Linked DNA regions of Caenorhabditis elegans. The protein of the gene in region 1 purifies or fractionates together with the protein of each later gene. This does not show direct contact. Each region holds a gene or a part of one and is shown on either strand. Other genes may lie near its edges.

Region 1 (3,929 bases):
AGTGTTTTGTAGTAAATTCTTTAGTATTTAGAGTGAAATGAACCTAATTATATTTAACATACTAACAAAAATGTATTTTAAAATGTTTCACATGCTAATAAAAAATTTGCTTCACGTGCGAGAGTTATAAAAAACAGAAAATTACTTATTTATTTATTTATTTTGATACGATTAGTTAATCGTGTGAGAAATAAAATACCAATACAACATACATATACACATAATCGTAAGAGAAATCAATACAAATAAAGTAATAAGCAAAACATAATAATCAATTGACATGTAAAATGTACAATTATCAACTGAAATTGAGATTAGTGAATAGAGACTTACATGTGTTTGTTTGGAATATATCATGACACCAATTTGACAACTTTTTTTTCAAGTAAAGATCGCCTATGAAAAACTTAACTATCTTACCATTCATCAAGAGCAGTTAATTGATGATGACATAAAAATTAGAAACAACAAACTTTCAACCCTGAATATTTCATATTGTATGGCGGAAACTGTTCACTTTCTCAACATCGCGATTAATGTACTCTATTTCTCATCCACCTCTTCTTCTCAGTTCTTGCAAAATTTGGTATCATTGTTTCTTCTTTGTCTTCTTCCAATTTATTGATCTTCAGACGTACAAATCCAAAATTTTGTTATCAGATCATCTTTTAAATCCATTTATTAGTGACAAACAGAAAGAAAAATAATGTGAACACAGTGAAAAATCTTGACAATCGTATTTGATTTGCGCAACAAATTCTCGCCCTTTCCACTAGTTGAACTGCTTTTCGTCAAGCATATTTTCTTTTGTTTCTTGTTCTTTTGAAATTTTGAGAGGTTTACTTTACTTTTGATATTTTTCATGACTCATTATTTTTTGAACTATGAGGAAACTTCAGAAAGGTAGTGTAATTCTGCCGATTCCACCGATTATAATCGCTGTTTCCCTTTCCAAACCCCACATATAGAAGACAAAAAGCTGGTTTTGCACAGGTTTTTTTTGCAAAATTTTCAATCAAATATACCCTCTCGAAGGTTTTTATTCGTTTTGAGCAATTGACAGTGCTCTCCGAACTTTTTTGAATGAGACTGCGATTACGTGGGTGATTTTTTGTTGACAAAGGTTGCGCGGAGAAATAAGGTGACGATTTGAATCATTTGTCTTTTCTGGTTTTTGTTTTTCTGTATGTCTGAAGTGTTCCAAATGAAACAGTTGTATTTTTATCCTATATAAATGAAATATTAAGTTTTAAATAAAATTTTAAAAAATACGTTGAATACAAGTAGTTATGCTTCTATTATTAAGTTTATTATAACCCATAATAACACCTCAAAAATGAATAAAACATACTGGTTTTTCCTTAACTTGAATTGAACGTGATATCCGAGTTGATCGAACTTAGAACGTTTTTACCAAAGACTGTTTATTAAAAAAATAATTCTCAAGTTTCTAATTTAATCCGAAATTCAAAAAACGTGGTGGCACTAAATAGTATGTTATAAGTTCTAAGCAATCACTTTCTAATTTTTCAAAAAACACATTTAATTTTTTATACCTACTTTTACAAAACTACTAATTGCTATTGCATAATTTGCAGAACTAAGAATATTTTATAGGTTATTTCCTCACATTTTTTGAACACAATTTTCGGTATTTGTGAAAACGCAAGCAAATATTTTTGTAGTTCTATTTTTAATCGAGCATTTGCAAGATTTTCTCCTGAACTAACGGCATTCTACAAACTTGTTTAAACATTTTTCTTAAATTTTTTAAAATTGAAATTGAAGCTTATATTTCAGAGATGAAATCGATGTTTTTTATATGTCAATTCTCATTACTTTTGCATTTTCAGTGACAAGTAGATGAGTCATCATTTGTTTCCGTGCTAAAACATGTCTTGACTGTGAAGCAATGCCGTTGCCCCCTTGCATTGTACTCGCGACCTCCTCTCCCGTGTCTACTGTTTGCAATTTGCATTTTCGTATTTCGCTTGATTTTTCCCTTTAGCTTGTAAACACTTGTCAAGTTCTATGTATTGTCTGGTCACTTTGATTAAAACAAAAGTTCAAGGTCATCGCTACGGCTTCTAGTTTTGTAGCCGTTTTTAGGTGTACTTTTTATAACCTTATCCTTTTCTGATATCATCTATAACAATTGTATTGCGTTAACGTTTTCTCCTTGTCGACAGATATTAGACCCCTTCACGTTCTCATATTTAAGTGCGACCTTGACAACAATTGACGCCTGTCTTCCATGAAAATCGGCGACATTTTTTTGAGAAACGTAAACATTTAACCATTTTTCAGGTTGTTCAACATGGTATGCTGTTTCGGGAAAAAAGATGAAAGGACCAAAACGATTGAAAAAGAATTACACAAAGAGAGAAAAATTATGCGGCGACAAGTATAATTAAATTATTTTCTAGTGCAAAATAATCGACAATTTTCAGATTAATTTATTGCTTCTCGGATCCGGTGAATCTGGAAAGTCCACGTTTGTAAAACAGATGCACATAATTCACGGGGCCGGAGAATTTACAGCAGACGAAGTTCGAGCTTACAGACAGCAGATATATCAGGTTTCATCCTTTTACGTGGTTTAAAAAATTCAAAGAAAATTATTCACAGAACGCGATAAGTGCAATGCGGGTGTTGTTAGATGCTAGGAACAAATTAGGAATTGCATGGGAAGATCCAAAAAGACAAGTGGAAGTTGAAAAAGTTATGAGGTAAGTAGAATTTATATCTAAAGTCTGAATACAATCCAAAATTCTACATTTTTCCTAGAGATCAAGAAATGCGTGAATCAAACATTCAACTGTTATAGTTTTAAGAAGAATTTTTGGTATCGTTTAAAAATAACAAAGAACTGGATGAAAAATTTTTAACAATGAAAACGAAATTAGATTATTCGTTCTAATCAAAATTCCACACTTTTTAGAAATCATTCAAAAAATTAACTTTTTTTCTTATTGCACTTAAATACATTAATATTATAGATTTTCTGTCGGCGATTTATTAAAAGGAATTGATTTCACCACGTTTGTTGAAGTAGCCCCAATCATCAGTGATTTCTGGAACGACGCTGCGATTAGAAAAACATATGAGCAAAGAAACTTATTCCAAATTGTAAGTTTTTGATTTTTTTAAATTATATATGTTCTGTTTTCAGAGTGACTCCTGTCAGTACTTCTTTGAGCATATTCCACGAATCGCAATGCCTGATTTTTACCCAACAAACCGTGATATCCTTTTCTGCCGAAAAGCGACACGTGGCATTTCTGAACACATTTTCGAGATCAACAAGATTCCATTTAGGTTTGACTTTTTTCCTCAATGGTCACGGACTTAGTTTGTGAATTATATTGTTTCAGGTTCATTGATGTTGGCGGACAAAGATCGCAACGTCAAAAATGGTTTCAATGTTTTACAGACATCACAAGTATTTTGTTCATGGTCGCCAGTAACGAATACGATCAGGTTAGAGATCAAGACACACTTGTTCTGGTGTTTACTATACATTTTTCAGGTGATTCTCGAAGACAGACGGACGAATCGAGTTGTCGAATCACGGTCTGTTTTTGAGACGATTGTCAACAACAGAGCGTTCTCTAATGTCTCCATCATCTTGTTCATGAACAAAAATGATTTATTGCAAGAGAAAGTTCCCAAATCCGATATCAGACAGTATTTCACGGATTTCACAGGGGATCACACTTTAGTGAGTCTATATTATTGAGAAAAAACGTGTTTGACAATAGAAAAATGTATCTTGTATCAAGCTATATTAAAAGGAAAATCATATTTGGTAAAAATTAGGGGAGTATTACACAGCCGACATGTTTCGGGCATTGGAATTCACGTATTACGGAAATCTTTTTTTCTTTATTCATTCTTTCACTGGAACTGTGAGGGTACAGTTGGAAATG
Region 2 (3,929 bases), 1.5 Mb from region 1:
TTTATTGTTGCCAAATCTGTGAGTAATCTGAAACCAAAACTGAAGAAAACTGCATCGAAAGATCGATGTGGTGGGACGGAGGCAAATGCCAAAAGTATTTACTCATCATCTTCGTTCTCCATAAAGATATATTCAAAATTCGAAGAGTGTGTAAAAGCGTGTATTCGATATCTGAATCTGAAACCCGAGACGTAGCGGTGAGCACAGACACCAACGGCATCGTCCAGTTCATGAGGATGCCGAGGATAAGCCTCATGCTCTTGTCCCCAAAACGTCAAATGGCGATACGTATTGAGATATGCATCTTGGCAATCTATTAAGAATGCCGCCGCCGGCACAGTTTAGCCGGAGTGCGTTGAGAAATCAGTTTTCTAACAAGTAGATTTGCTTTTTGCTCCCTTCCTTTTTCTTCACTTGTCCGGGAGGACCTACCACCATCGTTATTCCCAACGGCAATTTTAGGCGTGTGAACTTTCTGCTTCTCATCGTACAACCTCTTTAATGTTTTCTTTCCATCTGATGTATCTTGAACGATTCTTGAGAGACACTTTCCCAGGATGGTGCCGGTGGTGAGCAGTAGGACTTCACTGCCAGTAAATTTTTTTGTTGCTTTTTTCTTGGAATCAAGAAGAATTTTAATTATTTATTTATACGGGCCTCTCTTCAAACACTGGATAACTTTTGAAATGTTGCATATCTTGAAAATGCTTCTTAGAAATTATATCAATTTTGTAATATCCAGTTTTCGAATCTGTTTGAAATATATTTATTATTTGAAATTCATTGGTCATATTTTAAAGTTAGCCAGCCTTTCATGAACTTGCCATTTTTTCTTTACAACTGCAGTTTTATATTCGCCGCTCTAAAAAAAACATCTCCAAACATTGAGAACATGTGAATTTTGTTTCCTTTTTCGCCTTTCATGTTTCTCTTTTGAAAATTCTTCAGTGAACATGTTATTTTTCAGTTTATCTTGACAGAAGCTGATGTTTTAGGAATATTTAGTTTTTTTAGAAGAAATTCCTGTGTGATTAATAGAATGACGTCAGCAAAGTAATGGTGGGAATTTCGCGAGCCCACCTTGAAGACCACCCGCGTTTTTTTAAAATTAATCACTTGTTTTCGAATTATTTGAAGTTTCATGGAAACTATCCAAGACATTCAGTTATGAAGTTAGTCAGTTATTCAGTTAATGAAGATTTTCCAATTTTTAATTTCAAGATTGGCTAGTTGTTATTTAATTCAGTGTGATAGTTTTGATTTTGATGCACGTTTGACTTCAAAGTAACTGTCATAAAATCCTGGCATTTTATTACTAACCATTTTGCTAGGTTTCATTTTATATGTATACCGATGGTTTTGAAAATTCATGTTCATACCTTTTTATTATTCTTTGAATGACCAGACGAAGAAGAACAATGTATTCTGAGTTCGTTCATTTGATTTCCACTCCCACTCGACGAGCAGGTTAACTTTTTGTCCTCTGTGAGCGTGTTGGAACAATTTTTCAACTTTCATCTTCGCATATTTTGCTCAACGATTTGCCGTGGAATTTTTAGCGTTTTGTCACTTCTAACTCCACATATAAGTTTGTTTTGAGACTAAACCAGAATACACCAACAAAAATCCATGCCTTCTTGAAGCTTTTCGTCCCCCCCCCCCCTCCTTCAGCAATAGTTTTTGGTTCTGTCTATTGACAGCGTCACTTTGTCATATATAAACATTCGTTCCGCAATCAGCGCACCAAGCACTCTTCCTCTCTTCTTCCGCACACTTGCTGCGTGTGTGGGCTCGATTTCTTAAGGAGGAGAGAATTTATTCGTCCATTCACTCACATTCTGTGTCTCCGTGATTCCGTTGGCATTTATAGTTCTTCTCAGTTTGCCATTATTGATACTTTTTACAGAAACTGTATATGCGATCGTACGAGTTTGTAACCAATACACCACTCAAACTTGATCGGCACAAAGTATACCTCGTCGACGATGTGGCTGTCACAAGGACTGTACCCTTATCGCAGCCATTATCCCCATCAACCGGTGAGCCATTTTTGCACTTTTACAATTACCTTGTCCTTCGAATTGGGTAAAAGGGTTGAACTTTAAACTTCATCATAACTCGAAATACTGTTGGTTTCAATTCGTTCCATAATTTTAGACCTATGAGTTTTGTTTTTCGTTTTATTCGGAACGCAAGAAAACAAAGTATTCGTTAGAATACACACAAAGGTAAGTTCTTTTCTTAAACACTGAAAACGTTGATTTTAGTGTTCAAAGTGCATAACTTTGTAGTTCCATCAAAAATTATTTTGCTTAAAAGCAGTGTTTCGTTGTAGCCTATCTAGCTCACTTGCTCTTTTCAACCTCTTCAACAGCATTCAAGATTGAAATCTCAACGGGATATATTGTGTGTATATGTCTTCTTCCCTTTTCCCACTCATCCCATGTTAAATTTGGCAGAAAGTTATCCCCTTCTCCTGTTATATTCCCAAGAGTCGTGTTGCTCTTGTGTTCTCAATAGGCGTTGTTGTGACAATTTTGGCGGGGTGCCTTTTGCAATAGCAACAGAGCATCAGTTTACTGGGTTTTCTGAGAATAAAGAAAAAGATGAAACGGAGGAAGAGGATCAAATCTGTTGTGGAAATTGTTTAGTCAACTTCTTTGTTGATTGCTGATTCATTTGAATAGAAAACTGAGTGATATTTAAAAACTTTTCTGAATACTTTAAGAGAGATGGGATTGACAGAATGATTTTCTTACAAAACAAGATTAAAATCGTTAGCCTTGAAGTGGATTAAATGCAACTTGAGTGCCAATTGAAAAAAAATCCGCAAACTTCCCATTGAAGAATATATTCACAGTTGTTGTTTAAATCTTGTCCTATCGTTACGTTTAACACATTAATTTTACAAGAAACTTTGATCTGAAGTCGGCAGGGGATGTCAACATTTGCAGTTTGAAAAATTTAATTATTAAATTATTAAAAAATCTGAAGAAAACCACGAGCTTTTGGTAATATTCTTCGCATTCTCCATACATTCTATGAAAAGTTGTTGAAAATAGTAATAACTAATTTCCAGTTCATGAAAGTGATCAACTATTCAGTCTTGTAGTTTATGTTTCATTGAATTTTTGCTTGTTGTCGTTCTTGCGCCACACTTAAAAAATTAACCTTCGAATACGCGCAAAACCTTACTACATGTTATTTGAACATTGGCTTCAGAGAATCTGCTTGTTGTCGTGTTACCGGCATACTTTCAGATAAAACTTTTTTGAATTCTGCGCTGAATCCAGTTTGAGAAATTTCCTTTTTGCACATTTGCTAACATTATTTATTTTTGAAAAAAAAATGAATTGCCGCCAAAAACTATGGTCCCACTTGCACTTCTGCTTAGACATCAGGATCATAAATTACAAATTAAAGTTTTATTCCATAATAATACACAAAACCTAGCAGTTGAAGTTCATTTTGATTTTTGGTGGTTTTTGTTAAACTAAAGTTTGAATATGCTTTTCAAAACATGGGTCTTATCTTTTTTCAAACACCTCAAATCTGATCGAACACTCTTCAACTTTTTATAGCTCTGACTTCCAAAAGAACATTCTGAAAAACAATTCAAAATTCACACAAGTCCCTTTTGCGCGAACTAAGGTTTCATGTGACTATAAATAATGTTCCGTGCAGGAAAAAAATTAATTGAATTGCAAATTCAATTTCCTTGTTTTACATTAGTATATCTATCACTCGATTATAGAGTGGCAGCACATTTTTCAAAATGAGGCAGCGGTTATTTGGGACCAGATTGGGCCGGCAAAGAGATTTATATCCGTTTTCGGGGCAAAGGACGAACAACGAGCAGAACGAGTGCGTTACGTTTTTATTAGTGTTTGCTTAGCACCCGCATCACCCACAAAAGTCCATAAAATTGC

Evidence for each region.
Region 2: the proteins of gpa-12 (region 1) and rhgf-1 purify together in Caenorhabditis elegans (affinity purification with western blotting, with the first as the bait; one study listed by BioGRID). This does not show direct contact.

The regions. Positions count from the first base shown.
Region 1 is NC_003284.9:9,244,700-9,248,628, forward strand, and holds the start of gpa-12 (Guanine nucleotide-binding protein alpha-12 subunit), read left to right. Parts: upstream 1-2,307; 5' UTR 2,308-2,317; coding exon 2,318-2,404; intron 2,405-2,450; coding exon 2,451-2,579; intron 2,580-2,628; coding exon 2,629-2,729; intron 2,730-2,999; coding exon 3,000-3,129; intron 3,130-3,172; coding exon 3,173-3,318; intron 3,319-3,374; coding exon 3,375-3,480; intron 3,481-3,529; coding exon 3,530-3,721; intron 3,722-3,929. UniProt on the Caenorhabditis elegans protein: Guanine nucleotide-binding proteins (G proteins) are involved as modulators or transducers in various transmembrane signaling systems.
Region 2 is NC_003284.9:10,709,845-10,713,773, reverse strand, and holds the start of rhgf-1 (Guanine nucleotide exchange factor), read left to right. Parts: upstream 1-1,904; 5' UTR 1,905-1,915; coding exon 1,916-2,039; intron 2,040-2,358; exon of another isoform or gene 2,359-2,485; intron 2,486-3,929.